Linked DNA regions of Diceros bicornis minor. The protein of the gene in region 3 purifies or fractionates together with the protein of the main gene of each other region. This does not show direct contact. Links are inferred from orthologs where the notes say so. Each region holds a gene or a part of one and is shown on either strand. Other genes may lie near its edges.

Region 1 (7,824 bases), on a different chromosome or scaffold from region 3:
GACTGGCTTGCTGGCTCCGCTTCCACCTACCGGGCTGCGTGATGGAAACGGGGCTCAGGTCACCCAGAGAGGGGCGTGAACGGGAGACGTGGAGGGAATACCCAGCTCAACCAGGCAGAAGGGCATGGACGGCTTTGGAGGAATGAGTAGAACAAAAGGGGAGATGTGGGGATTTCCACTAAGGAGCTGAGACTACCCCACTTCTGCAATTCACTCTCTTGCCTGGAGGAATTCAAACGCAGTAATGAGATTTAGATGCTTTAGAACAGAAAATATTCCAACAGGAGCCGACCATACCACTCTGTTAAAGTACAACAGCCAGAGACGTGAGGGCCCTGAGGCAGCAGTCCGGGGTGGCGGGTGGAAGGCAGAATCATGGCTTTGACTCATGTCCAGGACGGCCCACAGGAGACAGGGATGGGCCCTCAGAGCCCGGCCGTGACATGAAAGGAGGCAACACCTCACCGGCGGGAGTTGAGACCTCATGAAGTCCCGAAGCTGTCCCAGCACAGCACAGGAGGGAGGGGCCATGGTCCTGGCTTCAACTGAGGGGCAGCTCAGGCTGCTCCAGAGCACAGGCAGCCTCACCGCCCTCTGAGGACTGCCTCCACCCAGGTGGCCCGGGCCAGCTTCCCCAGACTGAGGCCTCAGAGGGCATCCCTGAAGGCAGAGGGCAGAGGGCAAAGGGCCAAGGGCTGACCCCGCCCTCTGGAGAAGGTGGGGCATTTACTCTCTCCTGGGCTGCAGCCTCAGTCCTCACTAAACAGGCCAGCAAGCAGACCCTAGATGGCAGAACTGCAAAGAATACCCAGCTATGTGGGCACAGAAACCTGAGCAAGAACCCAGATGGATGAGCATGTGCCCAGTGGCTCAGAGGGGTCAGAGCATGGCAGGTCCGGAGTGAGCACCCCTTCCACCAGCCTCCACCAGACAGCCTCTTGTACACATTATCTAGTTGACAGAATTTAAATAAAAAATTATTTTTATTGGGGCCGGCCTGGTGGCCTAGTGGTTGAGTTTGCACACTCCGCTTTGGTGGCCCAGGGTTTGCAGCTTTGGATCCCGGGCGCAGACCTACAAATACAAACCGCTTATCAAGCTGTGCTATGGCAGGCGTCCCATGTATAAAAATGGAGGAAGATGGGCACAGGTATTAGCTCAGTGCCAATCTTCCTCACCAAAAAAAATATATATATATATTTTTATTAAAAAAAGAATTATTTAATTTTTATTTTTATTTTATTTTTTTGGGTGAGGAAGATTGGCCCTGAGCCAACGTCTGTTGCCAATCTTGCTCTTTTTACTGAGGAAGACTGGCTCTGAGCCAACATCTGTGCCCATCTTTCTCTATTTTGTATGTGGGTCGCCTGCCACAGCATGGCTTGATGAGCGGTGTGTCGGTCTGCATTCCGGATTCGAACCAGTGAACCCCGGGCCGCTGAAGCAGAACACACAAACTTAACCACTATGCCACAAGGCTGGCCCCTATTTAATTTTTAAAAATTATTTTAAAAATTCTATTTATAAAAAAGGATAAAAATCCTTTTTTTTAAAGGAAATATTCAAATACTTAAATGTGTGTGGATGTTTAATTTTAAAAGAAGGGGAAAAAGATCCAGAAAGATGATTATTAACTGCGGTCACCAACTGGAACAAGTGCATGAGTGGGAACTTCCACCCTGTACTCAACGGTGTTGACGTAAAATTTAATTTTTTGTGGAGGAGGGTATATTTGACATTTCAAAAAGTTTAAAAAAGGGGGAAAAATAGTTTCCTGTAATCCTACAAACCACGGTCAACACAGTTAATGCATCATCTTCTCTCTGGGCACACCAGTGTTACAACAAAAGCTTGAATAGTGTAGAAGGTTTAAACTTGATTTTAAATCTTTTCTTCCTAGTAAACAGATCAAACAAGCACGGCCTTTTGGTTTCCATTATGGGAATAGACATCTGTATGAGGTAAGGTCATAACTTCCAGAACACCAGGGCCATTAGAAATATAAACACCTGTAGTTATAAACTTGTTTCTAGAACGTTCTAAATAACAAATGCCTTATTTTAGTTAAATTAAGCTTTGCTCTCATTTTTCTCACTTAAAACAAGAGCGGAGTGCGTCCTTCCCCATCATCACAGCAACAGATACGATGCCAAAGCCTCGACCACTGGGGCCCCTCGGGCTCCTGCCCACCCTGGGATCAGGCTGGGGTGGAATGGAGCTCCTGCTTTGCCCACCCCTTCACGTGTGTCCTGCGAGCCCCTCCAGGCAGTCCCCCACAAGCGAATCTCTACCTCAGGCTTTGCCCTAAGAAATCCACCCTACAACTGAATCTAGCAAAGTGGGCTGAGTCCCATGGAGAGGTGACATCAGAATCACTGGAGGGGGAGGACCAGGCATGTGGATTTTTGGAGTTCCTGTGAACAGAGCACTTAACTGCAGTTGAAAACCAGTGCCCTAGAGCTTGGAGCACCCCAGCTCCAAACAAGGTCTACCTAGCCCCAAATGTGCCCCAGGTACATCAGAGGAGACACAAGGGCCTTAGGGTTCCCAAGGAAACTTGAAGAAAGCAGTGTGGGGCAGCCCCCCAGAGAGCATAAGGCACAGCGGGCACCTTCCTTCCTGGCCACCTTCATCTAGAGGGAGAGCCCACTGGAGGCTCCTCACTCACCCACCGCACCTGCTGCCCAGTGGTCTTCTCCGTCCCGCCATGGTTCTCATCACTGCTGGCCCCATCCTCTTCCTCAGCTGCGGTGTCTGCGCTACTGTCACTGCCGGAATCTTCCAGGCCTGAGAACACACTCTCCTCACTGTCAGAGAGGCCAGAATTGCTGCCATCCCCGAGCGGAGAGGTCGGGAGGTCACAGAGGAGAGAGGGCTGCAAGGAGCACAGTGTTGATGACAGCCAGACCCCACAGCCCACCCACCAGCCTTGCCCACCAGGCACCATGCACTGACCCATAGGTCTGTGTTGCCAGCCTCCAAGGCCACAGCCCTCAGGTCACAAGCCTCCACCTCCACCAAAACCATCCACCCAACCCAGGCCTTCCTCACCATCCACCTCTGCCAACAGCACAGCTGCCTGCCCTTGGAAGGAACATTTAATTGCTAGCATCTCACAGGGGAAGGACTTTTCAAGAACAATGTCCCCTTCTTAGAGCTCGGTTCCATTGCATTACCAACACTTGCTCTCCATCCTCTGCACCCCGCCCTGGCATTCAAGGCCCCAGAGCTATGAGGGCAATAGGGCAGGGGCTGGGGCCAGGAGAGGACCAGAACCCCTGAGGGGCTTTTCCCACTTGAAGTAGAAGCCTCCATATCCAAGCAGACTAGGACCAACAATTGATCAGTAAATAGTAACAGTCGGTTCAAGAGTGATAAAAATGATGTAAGCTTTACTTAAAAACAAGAATACACCCATTCACCCCCTCGTAGGGTAGGACTAGAGCAGAGCTCTGCTGACTAGACACCATCACATCCCTAATTCTACAGGACACAACACAGTGGGCAGGCCCAGTGGTTGTCTTTTAAAAGTGGAACAAGAACTTGTAGACTTAGAAAGCATTTGAGTGCAGAATCCTACATTTCACTGTTTCTCAACAGTTTAAAAGTCTCTCACCTAACTGGACATCTGGCACTCACCAGTTATTCCACAGCACTCGACTTAGTTTTCATAGAAGCAACTCTGATATACACTCCCTCCTGCTGTTTATCTCCAATATCTAGTTAGCTACACAGCTGCAAGTGCTCCTGGTGAGCAGAGCCCAGTGGTGGAAGCAGGCAATCTTGGCGCCCAGACCTGCCTGCTGGCAGGGAGCAGCAAGAGGACAGGTCACAAGGCAAAGGGGCAGCCTGACAATCCAGCTAAGTGGAGTCCGCTGAGAGAGGCTCGACTGTACATGCCTTCTACGACCCAGATTTGATGACACCCCCACAACCGAGCTGGGGTTCAGCTGAACAGCAGGAGCGGCTACGAGTCCAGTCAAAAGGATGTGACTAACGCAGCAGGCACTGGGTTCTAGTCAAGCTTTCTTATTCTCATATTTTCATTAACTTTTACAGTGGATCTAACATACTAGCAGTGTATAAACATATAAGTATTTAATAAGGTGCAAGCTCAAATCTTCTTAATAGCAAGATGCATAACTTAGCTGCACAGGACACCAGCTCTCCTTCCTGTCTCTCCTGCGCAGACTGTTCTTCCGCCCCGCCCCCACTCCAGCCGCCTCTCGCACAGGGGGTGCTCTTTGCCCAGTAGGCCCCCCACAAGGCCACCTGCTCCAAAGGACAAGCGACCCTTTCTTCCTCTCATTCCCAGGCCCACCGCACGCTGGGCGGGCTTGCCGTGGGCCGAAGGGCCGAGAAGCCACCACGTGCAACCCCCGCCCCGCCGCCCTGCTCCCGCTCCAGCTCCGCGCAGCCCGCTGTCACCTCCTCCGGCGCCAGCGCCGGCTCCGGCTCTGGCAGCCGCTTCCCGGGCCGCGCCCTTCCCGCCGCCGCCGCCGCACACCCCGCAACCCGCGCGCCCGCCATGCTCCCCGGCCTGTCCCGACCCGCTCCGCCACTTCCGGCAGCGGCCCGGTCGCGTGGGCCTGGGGGCGGGGCTCGTGAGGTCAGAGGGTGCGGCCTGCCCACCCCGCCGGGTCTCATTGGTGGGGCGGGGCGGGGCCAGCACGCGCAGGCGCGTGGGCGGGGGCCAGCGGGGCGGGGCCAGCGGGGGCGGGGCGGGGAGCCAGGGGGAGCAGAGCCGGCGTGCGCGCGCCGGGGAGACGCGGGCGGGCGGCGCCGGCGGGAGCGCGCCCGTCGCAAGATGGCGGCGGCCATGCTGGGCCCCGGGGCTGTGTGTGCGCAGCGGGCGGCGGCGGCGGCGCAGCCCGAGCGGCAGGCGTGGCGGCGGTGCTAGCCGAGCCCTCGGCACATATTCGCGGTCGCCACCTCCGCCTCTCCCCGCCTTGCCGGTATGGATCTGTCCGTGGGCCCCGGCGCGGCGGGGCCCAGTAACGTCCCGGCCTTCCTGACCAAGCTGTGGACCCTCGTGAGCGACCCGGACACCGACGCGCTTATCTGCTGGAGCCCGGTGAGGGGCCGGGGCGGGACGCGCGGGGAGGAGCAGAGCCAGGCCCCCGCCTCGCCGGCCCGGGAGTGGGGGCGGGGAGTCCCGAGGGAGTGTTCGGAGGAAAAGCTTCCGAGGCCCGCTCTTCGTTGGCTCCTGCCCACGCCGTTTCTCTGGGGTGAGGAGGGAGGGCTCCTCCTTCTTTGGTCTCTTGCTAACTGCTGGACAACTGCGGAAGTGTGTCTGTCCTCAGAACAGCACCCAGTTTCGCTGGCGAACGTTGTGCCCAGGTGGCCCTCTGTGTCTTCTCAAATGAGTTACCAGGGTGGTGTGGTCGGCAGCTATGCGGGGAAAATCAGGACTTGGCGCATGAATCGGAGGGCGTTGCTCTAGTGCAAAAGGAAAGGGAGCGAAAGCAGAAAGTAAAACGTCATAAAGTTCAGGTTGACCTCGAACCCGTGTCCAAATACCAGAGCTGCGTTTCCCAAAAGCGGCTTTGTTTTTCATTCCTCACAGGGCGTCTTTATTCACGTCTCTGTCTCCAGTTGCCTGGCAGCAGGCTGGTTTACATGATCTGACCCTGCAAGACCGGACAGCTCCGGTTTGCAGAGGTAAATCAGAGACTGTGTCTGGAGTTGGAGACCAGAATCTGCTATTCACATCCTGGCTGTGACGTCGTGTCCGGGGAAGGCCGGAGCCGTCGCCCAGGGCTGGCAAATGGGTGGCCTAGAGAAAGGCCGCCATGGTCGTGCAGAGCTTCTGGGCACCTCCAAACATGCTTGAATCTCCTGAGGGCCAAAACTCCCGCTTTCTTAGACTCTGCTTACTAACTACTAAGTACTTCCCTTTCACACTCTTTAGCCATTAGGAACAAAAAAAAATGCAGCTTGCCCTGAGTTGTAGGCCAGGTTCTCTCAATCTTGGGTTGCCTGCTGAAGCTCTGCTCTGCCTGTAGAGCGTTTGGGAATAAAGAGTCTAGAAATCACACAGCCTTCTTATTGGAGACACTTTGTGTTGGTCCCAGTGACGTCTCCATGTGGGTATCCTCCGTTCCCCAGTGCCTGTTTCTTTAATGGAGGGCACAAGTCCCAAAGAGGGGCAGTGTGCTTTCCCACAGGCTGTCGTGTTACCACCATCCCCTTGTTCTAGACCTTGAACTTTCCTGACCAAAGGAAATGACCCCATGTTTCCGTCTTCGTTTAGCCTTCCTGTCCCCTCTCTTTCGTTCCCCTTAACTCGCAGGAAACACTCTTACTCAGTTCAGGGAGGGGCATCAGAGATCCTCTGGGATATTCCGAGCTTAATCCTACTAGATTGATCCTTCCTGCCCCTTAATTTTCTTGCTGTTTCTGCTGAAAGAGTGTGAGGCATGTGTGTGAAATGCCACCAGTGTACTCTCCAGGACCTGCAGCCTGTGTTCTGGGCAAGGCCTTCGAGCAGGAAAGTCGGATATGATCAGGCCTGTGACAGCCTCCACGCACAGTGGCCACACTGCTCATGAGCCCTGTTGGTGTGTTCTCCCTTGGGGGGATGGGGAGCTGGCTGGAGCTCAAGTATTTGATCCTACCTGGTCTGTACGCCGGTTGAGCAGGGTGTGATTGGTGCAGGACACAGCAGTGGGGGTGGCCCTCACAATGAGTACAGAAACAGCATTAGCTCAGCGGTGAAAGGAAGCCCTTTTCTGGTTGGGCAGGGGTTGTGGAGCTGCCCGGGCACAAGAAAGAAGGTGGTCCTGTGCCGGTGGCCTCGAGGATGCCCACACAAGCCCCACGGCCTTTGTTAAAAAAGTCCACACAGGGACTTGTGCAGACTCACAGCCCAGAGTCCAGCTCTCAGAGGCCTTGGAAGACTGATGTCCGTGCTCTTGGTGCTGTAATTTTCTCACCCACTATTCTGCCAAAAGAACCCCTCTGCGTTTGACCCAGGGGACCAGGGGAAGTCAGAGGTGCGGTGGCTGACTCTCAAGGCTGATTGGGGAGGGCGCTTCCAGACCCAGAAACTCTGGCCAGTAGGGCCAGGTTCAGACAGCGTTGTGCTTCCTCTGCCCAGCCTGAGGGCCACGCCAACAAGTCACTGCCCCTAGAGAGTCGTGTTGGTTTTCCCACCCCCTAAACCCTTCTCCAATTAAAGATGCACTCGGTATGGTGTTTCAGCTCAATAAGCAAGGGCCTTCAGAGATGTAGCTGATCCCCGGACAGGTCCTGCAGGACACTGCAGCTCCCACTGCTCACGGGAGGGAATTATGGTGACTGTGAGTGTGGCTTGGGGATGCGCCGCAGCTCTCCTGACCTATAGTCTGTGCTGTTTCCTCTGCCTCCCATGCCCGCTGGGACGCTCCATGAATTAGGCCTGCCTGGGTGAGGCCAGGAGGTGCCCAGGGGCACAGTTTAAGGAGGCACTTCTTTTTAAGCCCATCTGCACCTGGAGGCCCTGAGATTGAGGGCCTCCTTAAATTTTGGCGGTTAGCGCCTCTCTGGCCTCACTGTAGTCCCAGCCTGATCAGTGCAATTCTCTTCTCTTTGGGAGCAAGAATGACCCCAACAGGGTTGTGTGGGGGCTGGGGGAAATCCCAGAGACCTAGGAACTGGAGGTCACTGAGGCCAGGGCCCGTTCCAGGTGGCTGGTATGAGTGCTGGTGGTCAGAGGGTTACTCTGGAGCGGTTGGGTCTCTAGGTGGAGAGTTGGGGGCAGAGCAGTCCTGCAGTTAGGTTGCCACCTCCCTGTGAAACCACTGAGGAGTTGACCTGGTCACACCTGGGCCCTCAGAACTGGCC
Region 2 (7,841 bases), on a different chromosome or scaffold from region 3:
ACAATGTTCCAACTGCTTAGAGCTCCCACTTCTACCAAGTGATTTCCTACCTCCATGCCTGGATCTTACTGTGTCCGTGGTCTTCAATGCCTTTTCTATCTTTCATAGCCCAGCTGAATTTTACTTATCCTCTACCTTTCAGCTCAGGAGTTATCTCCTTCAGAAAGTGTTCCCTGAAGCCCCAGGTTGTGCTAATGGTCCTATCCTGTGCACCCCAAACACTCTGTGTTTTTCCTATCTGATCACTTGCTATAGTTTAATATACTTCATCTATTTAATGGAATGTATGTATATGCTCCTGAAAGTCAGGGAGAGCTTCACTTTATGCACTTTATTTTTTGTGAACTGAAACATATATACTGACCTACTAGGGATTCAGGAATGCCCTCAAATCAATTTCCATTTTATTGATAGCAACAGCATCTGCCTATATTGGAAAAACAACAGTATATTACATGTGAAATATTACTTATTCTGTCCATAGATAATACTTGGTATTTATATGAGTTCACAGATTTCCCTGGAATAACTTTTTGCCCCCCAACACAGTGCTTAGACACTGTACTTACCAAAAAAATTCTATCAAAGTCACTGTTTAAATGAGTATAACAGGAATGAACCACATTTATTAACAATGACATGACAAACATACATGAAACAGGATGGGACTAGAACTATTATTTCAACTACTAATCTCTACCCTATATAACAATCTAACAACCTACTTTAGAGATTAAGAAACTGAGCTTCAGAAAAGTTAACTGCCTCAGAATCAAACAGCTGGTAGGTAAGTGCCAAAACTGGGGTTGGAACCTAGGTCTGTCTGATTTCCTGATTATGAAGACAATTCTAAGTTTTGCCATTGACTTTTTTGTAAACTCGGGAGCATTATTTTATCTTCTGATTCTTCTATTTCTTGGTCCATAAAATAATAACTGTGCTAGACTGTAGTGAAAATTAGTTATTTAAAGTGCCTCCACCCCCAGTATAAACCATCATTGTTTGTACACTGAGAGGCATAGGTACATATATAATGAAACCTATATTTTTATCTACCACTCAGAAGCTTAAAATCATGCGCAGGGGGAAACAGTCTGTTACTCTATCATCTGTGTTGTGTTTTCTAAGCTATTAATGTGCTTATGACACATTAAGAGCAGTATAATAGTTTGCTTTAAATTCTTTAAGTAGCTATCTTTTGTAGCTGTCTTCCCTGGTCTTCTCAGCAATCCACTGGAACAGGAAAAACGTTCAATATTTTCAAAAATTAGAGAATGAATGTGTTAGGCGCTTTCTTCCTGTTAAGTTTCCATTTGTTTACTTAGCATATAATTATTAAAATTAGGTGAGACCTTTTGGTTTCCCTAGTCCCAGAAGAACACTTAGGTGACTTAAACAAAAAAGTATCAAGAATGTAAACTGTGTAATTAAGCCTTGTCTTGAGAAATAATTTTGAATCATGACAAGGAAGATCACTGCTTTCTAAAGACAGTAGATATATATGACATAAATCAAAGAATAAGCATTTCACAAAACCTTTTTCTGTGTGTGAGGAAGATCAGCCCTGAGCTAACATCCATGCCAATCCTCCTCTTTTTGCTGAGGAAGACTGGCTCTCAGCTAACATCTATTGCCAATCTTCCTCCTCTTTTTCCCCCAAAGCCCCAGTAGATAGTTGTAGGTCATAGTTGTACATCCTTTTAGTTGCTGTATGTGGGACGCCGCCTCAGCATGGCCGGAGAAGCAGTGTGTCAGTGCGCGCCCGGGATCTGAACCCGGGCCACCAGTAGCGGAGTGCGTGCACTTAACTGCTAAGCCACGGGGCCGGCCCCATTTCACAAAACCTTGGTAAGACAGATTTAGTGTTCAAAACACATTAACTACCTTAACTAGGGCTAGCCCGGTGGCGCAAGCGGTTGAGTATGCATGCTCCGCTGCAGTGGCCTGGGGTTTGCCGGTTCGGATCCCGGGCGCGCACCGACGCACTGCTTAGCAAGCCATGCTGTGGCGGCGTCCCATATAAAGTGGAGGAAGATGGGCACTGATGTTAGCCCAGGGCTAGTCTTCCTCAGCAAAAAAAAAGACGAGGATTGGCAGATGTTAGCACAGGGCTGATCTCCTCACAAAAAAAAAAAAAAACTACCTTAACTAGACACACTCCTAGAAACTTATTTGTGGGTTTTGTTATATTTTTAGCTTATTTGCTTTTCAAATAGGCAAAAGATTATGATAATCCAATTTTTAAGTTATTTTAGAATGCCATTGGGGCTATGTGAACAACTACCTTAACCAATTTTCAGTTAATGTACCTTCCCTCCTACCGAAGAGCGCAATCTCTTTTAATATCTCTTTCTCTCAGGCTCTGCATGGAATTTTCCTCTCCTCTTCATCCTGATGGTGTAATACATAACCACATGTTCATTACCTTGTTTTCCTCTGGGTGGTATGGGTACTTCTATTTCCTTCTCCTTTTTCATCTTTTCTCTCATTATGTCCTCTAACAAGATCCTCTCTAGGGTCCCTCTGATCTCTATGCTAATAAGAGAGCACTGAAATGACCAAAAGGAAGACAAAGGGAAAAAAATCCCAAAAGCAGCTGGGAGCCCTTAGTTCTAACCATCTCTATGGAAACAATTCCACAGAGATCAATCGGGAAACAATTCTGTAGGGATCACTGGAGCAGCGGTGAGCCAATCTCACCAAGCCTTACTCACAGGATTCAACTTGAAAATGAGAATAGTTGATAGATATATTTTTTTTTTCAGAGAAAAGTAGTAAAATAGGAAGCCAAATAAAAATTAGGTTTACCCCCATATGGTGTACTTTTTTTTAACTCAAAACTTCTTACTTGCTGTAATAATAAAAAAGCAAAATGAATGCACGTACTAATGTCAAGTCCTTCCTAAGCATTAACACTGGCAAACAGCGGAGTGCCCAATACAAAGAAATTGTGGCAAGAAAACATTGCAATTTGGTGCTGAAAAGTCATTAGGATGATTTTAGGAGTGTGGCCCATAACCATACAAAGTAAGTATGCGGAAAGAATGCCAAACTCAATCAGGCAGTAAATAGATTGCTTGAACTCAGGCAAGGGTCAAAGAGATTACAGAATTCCATCTACCAAATCAGGTTGGAAGACTGAAGGGATCAAGTAGTGATGTAACTTGAACCCACAGAAGAACTCCATTTGAAGTGTGGGAGCTTGGAGTCTTGCTAATACAGAAATTATTAAAAAAAAGAAACGGGGGGGGGGCTCACAGGGTCAGTGACACGAGGACATCAAGTTTAAGGCCTGTTCAAAAGTCTCCAGCCAATCAACTGTTAACTGCAGGTCTCCTGACATTGTAACTCCAGTGTTCGTTAGGTGAAGTAACTTCAATTTGCCAAAAATGATTTTTGTTCCCTTAATGCATGGTTAAATTATTTGTAACCCTGAGAAGGTCCACAGTACTTTAAAACCCTGGCCCCTGGCGTAAAACCATTTGGGTTCAAATCCTAGCTTCTGCCACTAGGTGTGTGACCTTGGGCAACCTTTTTCACTTCTTTAGAACTCAAGCACCTCATCTGTAAAATGGGGATAATAATTATCTTTCAGGATTGTAGAGTCAGTGAATTGAGCACAGCACCTAGCTCAAGCAAGCTCTCAATAAATGTGAGCTATTTTTAGTACATTATCCTGGTTTTGTTTTTTTCTCTCTTGTAATGAAGACAACACTGTTCCTTCTCCCTTTCTCTGAGGGGTATTTTGAGAGAGTGGGCTCAAGAAACGCAGTAGGGCTCTATGACCTAGCCAATTCTTAGTGTCCCACACTTGTCTTAAGCATGTTAGGATGAATTAAAGCCATGAAATGGAAGTTTCCATTATAAGAAGGTAAATGACCTCCTGTGTCCACCCTACACACTGCAGATCTCACAGGGAGAAAAAATTATTCAAGCTTCTCCACTGCTAACACCCCATGCGCCCTCTCATCCCACCCTAGACGGGCTTCCAAATGTCTGTAGTATAAAATCCAAAGTCTTTGGGTGGATACTGAAGGTCTACAAACTAGTTACGTCCACATTTCCAAGCTACAGGAACATCTCTGTGCTGAAACTCACTTCCTTTTCTCCTTCACTTCACGTACGTTCCTACGTTTGCTCTTTAACTTACATGGATCTCTTTAGCAACACTGCCCTGCACCTTCCCACAAAAATTCGGCTTGCGTTTTTTTCAATAATTAAAAAAAGTCCATAAGATGTCACTAGGAACCTTGGTGGTATGACAGCACAACCAAAAAGTATTTATTAGGTGTCACTTGTACGCACAGTTTTCAAGGATGCAAAGCTCTATTTAGAAAATAACCCAAAGTCGGCCGCTGACGGCCGACTGGTTACTAAGGTTACAAAGTGGAAGATGCAAGAGAGAACGCTAAAGCGAAAGGAGAAAGCGAGGAGCAATTTGTAGCGAAAGGCCGTAGGAAGGAAATCCATCAAGCCCCCCCACCAGACCCACGGTGGGTGGGGTTGTCGGCAGCGCCACGGCCGAGGGAAGGAGAAGCCCCTGCCCCAGAGCTGAAATCTGGGCCTGGCGGACACTTTTGTATCTTCGCAGCACCGAAACACGCCCATTTTTACTGCATAATACAAACATGGTGGACAAAAGAAGCCGTCCTCGCGTTAGGCGGCCGAACCACGTGGTGCCCTTTCCACGCAGGTGACGCTGGGCTAAGGGCGGGGCCTTTACGGAATTTGTTCTTGGTGGGGCAGAGTACCACAGAACTTTTCCAGATCGCGACACCACGGTTCCGTCAACTACACGCTCGCAGGACTACTGCTGCCACTTCACATTCTCCCCGAGAGGGCAGAACAGTGAGCCCTGAGAATTAGATGGTTTTACGGTAAGCAAGAAAGGCCGAGTTACCCGCCTTTCGCTAACCGGGGCAGCCTCGGTTTCTCTCCACCTCTCCCTCAAGTGGTCAACCCACCAGCGCGCAAGCGCACTTCGTGCTTCCCGCTCCAAGGCGGGACCGAGTCTCTTGTCTCGCGAGAGAAGGGCCGGCGGTCTTCGCCGCTCTCGCTCCACCCCCTCCTTCTCGCTCGCTCTCTCCCATCCCCCCCAGCCAGTCGCTCTGCTGCGCAGCTCCCTTAGTGGTTGCCACGGCTGGAGACGGTTGGGAGAACCGTTGTGGGGAGCGCTACACGAGACGAGCGACTTCTCCCTTCTCACGACCAAACCCCGTGAGCAGCGGAGTCGGCGTTACTGTCGCCCGACAGGGTATCTGAAGTAAAAGGGGGTAGGTTGGGCTGGTGGTTTCGAGAGCGGAATCGGGAGAAGGCCGAGACTGGGAGGGGGTGGGGTGGGGGGGAAGTGTGGAGGTCGCCGCTCGGAGGCGGCCAGCCTGCGCCTCCCAGGCGATCTCCCACTTCAAGGAGGGCGGCCTGCCGGCGGGAGGACTTGCTCACGTGGAATTCAGTGGACGAAGCCGAGACCCGAAGTGGGAGTCACCCAGCATTTCCCCTGTTTCCCCGCTGGTTTGGCCTCCGCCATTTTGGGTACGGTGGCGCGGCCACCTCGGCTTCCCGCCCTCCCCTCTTTCTGCTTTTTCACCCATCAGCTTCCGAAAACTGATTTAGAAGGCCCGGGGGTGGTCAGAGAGCCCCGGAAGGGATATGGATGGGGAATGAAGCGAGCAGGGAAAGGTTGGGCGCTTGGGGCGGGGGGAGGCTCTGGGCTGGCGGGCGCGCTCCCGATGGAAATGGCGCCGGATGGGCCTGGCCTCCCACCGCGGCCTCCCTTCCTCCGCAGTCTCGGCAGGGCTACCTGGGCTGGCGGGACTGCGAGTGACTTCTGACGCAGATTCCCAAGATGAGAGAGGCTGGAGCTGGGGGAGGAAGGCCAATGGCGACGAAGGCGCTCAACTCCCAAATCCAGGACAAAGGAGGCAGACGGGCTCCTTTGTAATTCCGCCGCCCGGTGGCCAAGGTTTTTAAGCCAGGCTTGGCTGCCGGACCGGGAGGGAGGGAAGGGGGGGACTCTCCCTAGCTCTCTGGTCTCTAGGGCAGCTAGATAAACGGAAAGTCTGCGGGGAGGAATAAAGGACGCTTAGCCGGCCCTTATATTCCAGATTTGGAACTTCGAAAAGAGTACGTACTTATTTTCCAAAGGGTTTTTTTTTCACGCTTATCTTAACCGTATAAAGACTTTGTGGGTAATTGTTTTGTAAGCAAAAAAGCGGGTGACTTATCAGATAGGAATGTGAAATGGGCATATTTCAGACAGGTCGTCTGGGCCCAGTGAACCATGATACGTCTTTTTGGGCGGGGATGGGGTGGTTTAGTAATAGTTTTGTGTGGTTTGGCATATATTGGATTAGAATTTAAGTTGTTAGAACACAACCAGAGATGGCAAAAGTGTGTGTGTGTGTGTGTGTGTGTGTGTAGGAATTAAGCTATTGACTTTCAACATTAAATCTCCAAGAGTTGTATTTTGGGCAAAGATTCTTCTGGCATTAAGGCTGTAGAAGTAAAATACTTCGAAATACAGTTAGTTTATTTTGGTAGCTAAGCATGTTTTTTATTTAGCGTAGGACTGTAGTAATATTTTGACCGAGAAAAGAAGCCTCCTGAACAGAAAGACAAACGGGAAGCCCAGTCGTGTGATGTGATTTTTAGTCCTTAAGAGAACTGGGTCGGTAATTTTCACCGAAGACGGTACAAAAGACATGCAAGGCCTGAAAATAAGAGTTTCCAGTAACGCATATGAATCTTTACGAGAAGTCTGTTGTCTACTTTTCCAGCTTTAAAAACAAAAAACTTTCCTGTTGAAGACATTCTATGATTTTAGTGGACTTTGAAAAGACAGCCCAGAGTTTCCTATAAAGTGGTATATGATATAACAGCTTTCCTAGTTGGATTACCGTAGAAACTTTTTTTTCTGCCGTCTTCATCTGCATTATAATTTGGAAATCCATCTAATTGCCTTTGCATTTTTAGTAACCATGGGTTTGTTTTTTTTTTTTGGTGTTCTTATTTTGGTAAACAAGTGGCTGAACTGCAGTAGGTGGTAACTTTGTTCTAGAAAATAACTCATTGGTAATCATTTTAGAGATCTCGCCTCCTTTAGATATTAGTGGTGTGTCTACGGTTTTTTTAAACTTAAAATTAAGGAATAAGCACATTGGAAAGGGGGAATTATATAAAATTTCCATTTTAATTATATCACCACATTCGTGCTGAAACTTGCAGTTCATTCTCATTTTTTAGGACCCGTGGGCAACCACTTAAAAATTGATGCATCAAACCCTTACTTTATGTATTATACTTTGGAAGGTAGTATATGCCTCTATGTTATAAAGGAATTTTATATTTCATTTGGCTCTTTGTTAGATGCTTTTTAGTAACAGCTTAGAGATAATTCACATACCATGAACCTCACTCTTAAAATCATACAATGTGTGGTCTTTTGTGACTGGGTTTTTTCACTTAGCATAATGTTTAGGAAATTATGTGTAAAATCTCATGTAAAACTGACTGAAGTTATCCTAATATTTCAACTGCTGGTATTTTTAATTGATGGTAACACTTGGAATTCTTAAAGCAGAATTGTGATTAGCCGTGACACTGTTGCAAAGAAAGGTTGAGATGGATTATCCTGAATAATTAGCAAACTCTAGTTTCTGAGACAGCTCCATTAAGGTATTAGAGCTGATTGTCTTTTTGTATGCCTTTAGAGTAAGTAGAATTCTTTTAGACTCAAATTTGGAGTTTTGAAGAGATAATCGAGTGTGGCTGTCTCTTTTTATTGTGTACTCTCCATATGCATGGGATGGAGAGTCACCCTATAAATTAGTCTGTCTTCCAAA
Region 3 (7,755 bases):
TAGAAAAAAGGGAACTGCAGAATGAAAACACAGTTCAGAATCCTGATATCAATTGCAGGGTCAACCAAGAAGACCTTTTTAATAAGTTAAAAAGGACAGATTATTTTTCCATAATCTCTGTAGACAGTATTACTGACCACTTGGGACAAAGCTATAATGCTGTCACTTCAAGAGGCCAAAATGCTGGATTATTTTTATTCTCTGTGAAAAAAATCCTGCTTTCTTCATTTCTCAAGAGAAAGAGTCTAAACTGGTAGCCAACGAAATTCACTTCAAACAAGTTTTTAAGTTTCTTTCTTGCATAACACTATTTGAGAGAAGCAGACCAGGCTCAACCTGCCATTTTCTAATAACTCAGATTTGTTACAAGGATTGAAAATGAATAAATGTTTTGAAAACAGAAATGGTTAATTAGGAGAGACTAAGGGGGTAAAACCTCAAATGTTATGTTCGTTTTAAAATTATTTCATCTTAAAGCTGCTATTAAAAAAAAATCCTAATTGCCTAGTTACTAAAGTCATCCCTCAATATAGCATATAAGTTAACAGCAATGCCTCAAGATTGCAAAAGGACATTAAAACCATGTAGTCATTTAGAGGTACACATACACACAAAGAAATAAAAATCTTCTGGAATTAAAAAAAATGCAGCAAACATCTGATTTTGTTGGATACCATCTCCAAGTCAGGCCTTACAATTTCCATTAATCAAGATACTTGGGTATTGCACCCCGTCGGATAGCTTTCTGCTTCTGTTCAGTAAAAGCAAGTAAGAATGGTAGTAGGAAGAGTGGAGAAAAATTGGTGTAGACAAAAGCTTATTAGATACTGATCCTAGATGAAAACCAGAACAGCTATGTCCATGAAGGTAAGAGGTTAACAGAATAAAGAGGATGACAAAAATAAACACAGAAAATGAAAAGGACAAAAATACTAAGAAAAAAATTGGCATAAAAAATGAAGTATTTACTACTATGGCACTCAAGCTAATTTCAAGGGCTCATTTGTTTCTTTTCAAAAGAAAATTCATTCACTTTACCATTTAAATTATAGCACACATCTCACAACACTATTTTAAAATGAAAAGTCAAATAAAAACTTTTAAAGTTGTCAATATGTGATCCCCTACAAAAGAATATTTAAATACCAGTAAGTTACAGACATTGAAAACTATCAAATTATATGCAAAAGCAACTTAATTTTAATGGAATCATCTATTTGCTTGCTTTCTGTATCTATACTCATCCTCAAAGCCTCATGAACAGCTAGTTCCCTTCCCCACCAATACTTGAACACAGGTGTTCATAAAATCAATTTATTATCTCTACTTTCCTTTACTGATTATGGAATTTGAAGGACACTTCCATCCTGAGGGGGCACAGAACATGCTAAGAGCTTTTCCCACTGATGGCTTTGATGGAACCATTTGTGCCACAGAGACTCACCACATAGGCTTTATAGTTGTTTTTGTTTCCCAGGAAATTTGACTTAAATGGGCAAACCTATGATGGCACAAATTAAAATCACCAACTTGCCCTTTTAATTGTGAAACCCAACAGACAATACAAACTAAAACCAAATGTTTTGCTTTATTTAGATATTAACACTCACCTTTATATGCTTTCGATTATTATTAACGCAGTGTTAGAATTAAATACTGTGGGAACCGTAACTGAATTTCGTGTTTTTTTTAAACTTCTAACTTGACATGGCTTTTACACATTTGCAGAACTTGTAATGAAGCCTGAGAATGCAAACTTTGGATTTAAGAAACTGCTAGAGACCAAAAATTGCTTGAAAGATCGAGTCTTTTCTCCTTCCTGGACATACATGATTGTGTTCATTTTGTGTATTACCAGAACACTGCAATTATTTAATTTTAAGGCCCGTCTGACTTTAGAATAAGCAAGTCTGAAATATGACAACGTGATGAAAGTAATTTGGAAGATTCACTTTCTGCCCCAATCTAAGTGTACAAGGTGCCTGTTTTTGACACTGGGCAATACTGAAAATACTTGCTTTCTCTAGAATTCAGTACAGTGATTTAGAAAATATTATGCCAATCAACAAGACTTTACTGCTTTCTCTATGCTTGTAACATATTCTTTCATGTTACATAAATTTGTGCATTTGTATTTCAAGATAAAAATACTCATTAAAATTCACATTGCGCTATCCTCCCAAGATTAGGTTTCTTTCAATGAATTAAAACACTATCCAGGCAAGTCAGTAAATATCTCAATGTAACGACTTCGTTTTGGCCCCTAATTCTCCCCATAACAACACTGGGGAGAGAAGGGACTGGGGAATACATATAGATGTAAATTTCTGAACCACAGAGACGCAAAGTTATAATTTTTGGGGAAAAAATTTTGAGTTAGATCCTTACATATTTCAGGTTTTCATTAACTTACCAATGTAGTTTTATTGGAGGCCATTTTTTATTGCAGACTTGAAGAGCTATTACTAGAAAAACGCATGACAGTTAAAAGGAAGTTTGCACGACACAAAAAAGGTAGCTAAATACAAGTTTTGTTTGGATTCCAACCCCCACCTATGTAGCCCATATTATCAAACATGTATACAAATCCATACAAAAGCAGATTTAAGCTCCTGCGTAAATTATTAGAGAGAATATGCCTGAGAATATATCAGTGTTCTAACAGCGAGTCTAGAAAACCTTACTGAGGTCATTGGGACTTGAAACAGCTTCGCTGGCCGAAAAACAGTAGACAAATATGTTTTTTCAATTCAAATGCCATTTATACATATTCAGTATTCTTTACAAAATGGCCAAATATTTTGGTTCAAAATCGGACAATTTCCTAAACTACCGTGAATTTTTCGTCGAGACCTCTTAACAGTCCAAAGAGTCGCCTATGTAATCCCAACTTGGTTTCTTCTTAGAAACCCTCCCTCTTCCCAATCACTAGTTAAAACACTAAAAGAAAAACACACTGAGATGCTTCAGGCCCATTTCGTGCCACTTTTGAAAACAAGTCACCTCTTCGGTACGTCCATATGCTCCCAAGCCCCAGGCCCCACCCTGCTGAATGCGGCCTAAACGCCGGGCGCCCGCCCCCCACCCGGGAGCGCGGGCCTCGTGGTCAGCGCATCCGCGGGGAGAAACAAAGGCCGCGCGCGGGGGCTCAAGGGCACTGCGCCACGAGGCTCGCGCCTCGCCCCCGGCGGCGGCCACATAACGGAGCGCCCGCCGCAGCCTCCAGGAAGCTGGCCGCGCGGATGCGGGAGAATGCACCGCCCTCCCTGGAGGCCCCAGTCGCCGGCCAAGCCCGGGAGGGGGAGGAGGGCCCCTCATCGTGATCCGGGATGGGGGAGGGGAGAGGAAAATGCGCTTTGTCTAGAAATAAGGCGACTGTCGCCACGACTCTCCACCTTCTCGGGGACAGTCTCGTCCCCCACTTAACTACAGGCGTCGGCGCAGCGCCAGGCCCGCCGCGGGGTCTCCGCTCGCCTCTCCGCTCCTTCCCACCAGCTCCCGACTCGGGGTCGGACGGGAAGCAGGGGCCAGGGGGTGGGGAGCTGGGGCGCATGTGGTATGTTAAGCGCCACCACCGAGTGAGAACTAGAGAGAAAGAAAGACACCGACTTCACCGCCTCCGAGCTGCTCCGCGTCCCGGGTCTGCAGCGTCTCCGGCCCTGCGCGCCTCCAGCTCCAGCCACATCCGAGGGGGAGGGGGCTGGGGAGCAGCGCGCGGGGCGGCCGCCGGGGGGGGGGGAGGGTGGCACCGCCCACGCCGGGCGGCCGCCAGGGGCGGGGCAGGGGGCGCGCGCCCGGCGGGGGGGAGGGGCCGCGCGGCGCCGCGCCCGCCGGGAGCCCGGGCCCAGGGGGCGGGGGGGAGAGCGGTGGCGACAGCGGCACTTACCGTTCGCGGCGTGGCGCCTGGTGGTCCCCGGAGGGGAGGAAGAGGGAAGGAGGGGCGAGGACGCTGTCCAGAGTCCTCTCGGCGGAGGCGTTTTTGCTTCGCAGCAGCAGCCGCTGGCGCCAAAACCGGACTCCGCCCACTTCCTCGCCCCTGGGGGTGCGTGCCTCCAAACGTTGGGGGTGAGAGGATGAAGATAAATTTGGGTGGGGGGAATCGGACACTGAGAAAGAGTGCCCCTTTCGGACCACCCTCTGCAAAGACCTTTTCTGAACCCGAGGGGTCAGTCCCAAAGACGTCGGCCAGGGTTAGGTTGGTGGAGGGTGAAGTGTAATTTGTTGACTACAGTCGCTTCGGGTGTTTCCGGAAGGGGCCGAGTCAGTCCTCGGCGCAGGGGAAGGGGGTGGGGGAGGGAAAACGCAGGGGGGAGGCTACAAAGATTTTTAAGGCGGGAGAACGGGGGCGAGGGGGGGCGGATTATCAACGGCGTTGCTGCAGGGACCACCTCCTGGGCTGAGGGGGCTGGACCTGAGAGCTGCGGATTAAGCTCCTCCCGGCAGCGTTCATTTCAAACTGCGCGACCGTTTCTTACCTGCCCTGCGCTAAGGCGGGGGCTGGACCCAATTCGGAGAGAGAGAAATACGCAGGACTCGCGCCTTCCGCAATTCACTGAGCCCATTTACGCAAGTGACGTCAAGCACCACCGCTGGCCGCAAGGGGGGGAGGAGTACGTACTTGGCGTAAGGAGGAGGTAGAGCGTTCCCGCCATTGGCGGCGGTTAGGGCGTTTACGCAACGGCCTGACGTAGGGGAAGACGCGTTAGTCGGGGGGAAGGTTCTAGAAAAGCGGCGGCAGCGGCTCTAGCGGCAGTAGCAGCAACGCCGGGTCTTGTGCGGAGGTGCTCTTAGCGGTGTTGTTTCTCGAGCAGCGGCAGTTCTCACTACAGCGCCAGGACGAGTCCGGTCCGTGTTCGTCCGCGGAGATCTCTCTCATCTCGCTCGGCTGCGGGAAATCGGGCTGAAGCGACTGAGTCCGCGATGGAGGTAACGGGTTTGAAATCAATGAGTTATTGGAAAGGGCATGGCGAGGCCGTTGGCGCCTCGGTGGAAGTCGGCCCCCCCGCCTCCGACGGAGAGCGGCAGTGAAATCGGGCCACTTAAGAAGCGGTTGGTCGCAGGATATTTTCGAAGAGGGCTGTTAGCGGAGGCCTGATTGTACAGCACCTTCCCCACCCTCAGCCTCCCGGCGCCATTTCCCTTTGCTGGGGGTGGGGGATGGGGAACTTCCACATGGCGGACGCGGCCCGCGGTAGTGAAAGCGGAGCGCCGAGGCGGCAATTCTTACTCCCCTCGTGAAGCACGCCGATTGGGGGGCCCCGGCGGCCCCCGTTTGAGCGTTTCGGCGAGTTTCGGGTCCGCGTGAGCGAGGCTGCGGAGCTTCCCCTCCCCCTCTCTCCCGGGAACCGGATTTGGCGGCCGCCATTTTCATTTCTCTCCTTCCTCGCAGCATTTTTCTTTTCGACCTCTGAATTCTGCTAGTTTGATTCTTTTACCGAAGAAGAGAAGTGGTTAACTAATTTTCTTTCTTCTTGGGCTGTTTTCATGCCGTTTCGAGGTGGATTCCGAGGGTTTTGTGAGCTTGGATCTTTAAAGTCCTGCGCACCTCGTTAGAGGCTCCCTCCCTTCCCCTCGATGAAATGGCGCCATTGCGTCCAGAAGCCGCAGCGAGCAGCGGGCGGGGGGGTTCCTCCGGGGCCCGGGCGCGCGGCGTCCGAGGAGGTAAAGCGAGCGAGGGTGGGGGGCCGGTTTCAAGCGAGCCATCGTACAAAGAAGACATTTTGTTTTCCAGTCCTGTTTCTTTGAGTAACGGTTTTGTTTGGGCCTGCAGTGATGAAAAAGACAGTTGAATCGCAGGAAACTTGAGAAATAAGTCAGAATTTGGAACCGTCAGATTACTACCGACTGCGTGGGTGGCAGCGGGGAAGGAGGTGGGGGGGACTTTTTCCTGAAGGATTCCCTTAGAATGGTAGAATTTATTCCTTTTTTAAATACTATTTTTTCTGGGAAATGTGATCTTTACTGGATAAGACTACGGATCCTTGTAAATGATGTTAGAAATTTTGAGGAGAGTGAAGAAAAAAATTGAGTTTATTCTTAGTGGTACTTCGGTTAAAACATGGCTCAGTCCTTCAGTGCGTGTATTGCTGTATACAGAACTGTGTTAGGCTAGGCCGCTCTGTATTTGAACTTTGTCACTTTTCTCATTTATGTTTGCAATCGTGGTTGATCATTACATTGATAAGCATAAGGTCTCAAGCGAAGGGGGTCTACCTGAGTATTTTCTTTGACCCTAAGCACGCTTAAAAAATAACTTTGTTTGTAATCGATAGTGGACATCGGGTAAGTTTGGAAAAAGCAGAGGTAAGTAATGAGTTTTTGCCTTTTGTTGGTGATGTGTAAAAATTGTTGTAGATGTGCTTTTTAAAATTTCCGTAATTTGGGTTTTAAAAGACGTGTTTACTGACAGTATTTGGTGTAAAGTGAAGAATCCAAATATCAATATGCCGTATAATTAACCATTTTGGTAGTTTTAAGTAAACATCTCGGGAGCTAGTTTAATAGTTTGTTAATCTTTTAAAATTTTTCAGAATCCTGAAAATAGTTAACTATGTAGGAAGAAAATCTGTAAATTGTTTCTTATCGCTGTATTTTTTGAGCTGTTGGGAGAATATCATGCGTTGAAGGAGAAACCTCCATAGAACTGTGGGTTGAGAGCTGTAATGCTATTTGCTGGGAATAAGTTATCGCCTGTTGTATTGAAAATTATATTTTACATTTTAATTTGTATTATACACTTACAGCAGATTGTCCTGGACGTTATGATTTATTGGGTTTCTGAATATTTTTAATTTTTTAACCTAGTCACCTGGAAATTATAATGATGCATTCTTTAACTGAGAGTCCCAAATACAGGGCTATTAATGCAACATAATTGCTTGCTGGTTTATAGGGATTAAAAAATTTCAGCCTAGCCTTTTTTCTTTTTTATTTGTGAAATTAGATGTAACTTGTGTAGTTTGCCAGGTGGCCACTAAGTTAAATACACTTGAGGTTTCGGGTTTTTTGGTAAATGAATTGAAGTGTAAATGATAGTTAAATATGTAACTACTGAATAGTCACAGTGGTCATTTAAACGTTTTTGTGGTTTTTGGGAGAAAATGATTACATTCATTGTATTTATGGTTATTGGTCCAATAATCGGATTGTTTCTGTACTGTCATTTAAATAACCAAACATGGGGGTGCCCACAAAAAGTCAGTTATGTTAAAACTTGAAGCTTTAGACACCAACGGTCATTAAAAAAGTCTGCCTTGGTCAGAAGAGAGGTAAATTTTAAGGATGTTTTGGAGCATATACTGAAGGTTTGAATTTTTTTCCCTAATCGAGAGTTGGTGTATGGGAAAGAATGATCTTTACCAGGGGGTTTTTTTTTTTTTGATGAGATGCATTAGAATCACCACCAGAGGGAGCAATGAGGGGAAAATGTCACTTTTCAGATATACTGAATCCAGAAGTAAATGGTAAACTATGAGTTATAAGTAAGGAACCAACAGTTTTTATGTTTAAAAAAAAGATTTCAACTGAGCTTTTAAAAGTTAACTTTAACTTCTCTGTGGGATATAGGATTGAATGCTAATTTTGATGAGAATCCTTTAACCCTTCAATGACCAGGGAGTAGATTTGCTTCTTTCTCTTCAGAAAGTATTTTTAAAAATAAGTGATAATAAATTTGTTTGAAATAATTTAATGTCAAGTAAATTTAGATCAAGCATTAATGACTTTGAAACTTGTGTAGTTCAGCTGAGGCAATTT

The links.
Region 1: the proteins of HNRNPA2B1 (region 3) and HSF1 purify together in Homo sapiens (affinity purification with mass spectrometry; 3 studies listed by BioGRID, with this or other methods). This does not show direct contact. The link is inferred for Diceros bicornis minor from reciprocal best matches to the Homo sapiens genes HNRNPA2B1 and HSF1.
Region 2: the proteins of HNRNPA2B1 (region 3) and HNRNPH3 fractionate together in Homo sapiens (co-fractionation; 3 studies listed by BioGRID and IntAct, with this or other methods). This does not show direct contact. The link is inferred for Diceros bicornis minor from reciprocal best matches to the Homo sapiens genes HNRNPA2B1 and HNRNPH3.

Annotation. Positions count from the first base shown.
Region 1 is NC_080760.1:56,887,886-56,895,709, forward strand, and holds the start of HSF1 (heat shock factor protein 1), read left to right. Parts: upstream 1-4,821; 5' UTR 4,822-4,957; coding exon 4,958-5,074; intron 5,075-7,824. Other genes in the region: ribosome biogenesis protein BOP1, read right to left, coding at 2,669-2,875, 4,429-4,821. UniProt on the Homo sapiens protein: Functions as a stress-inducible and DNA-binding transcription factor that plays a central role in the transcriptional activation of the heat shock response (HSR), leading to the expression of a large class of molecular chaperones, heat shock proteins (HSPs), that protect cells from cellular insult damage.
Region 2 is NC_080745.1:37,596,805-37,604,645, reverse strand, and holds the start of HNRNPH3 (heterogeneous nuclear ribonucleoprotein H3), read left to right. Parts: upstream 1-4,807; 5' UTR 4,808-4,877; intron 4,878-5,103; exon of another isoform or gene 5,104-5,273; intron 5,274-5,735; exon of another isoform or gene 5,736-6,123; intron 6,124-7,841.
Region 3 is NC_080742.1:51,188,807-51,196,561, reverse strand, and holds the start of HNRNPA2B1 (heterogeneous nuclear ribonucleoproteins A2/B1), read left to right. Parts: upstream 1-4,734; 5' UTR 4,735-4,920; coding exon 4,921-4,926; intron 4,927-7,755. Other genes in the region: CBX3 (chromobox protein homolog 3), read right to left, coding at 2,414-2,437. UniProt on the Homo sapiens protein: Heterogeneous nuclear ribonucleoprotein (hnRNP) that associates with nascent pre-mRNAs, packaging them into hnRNP particles.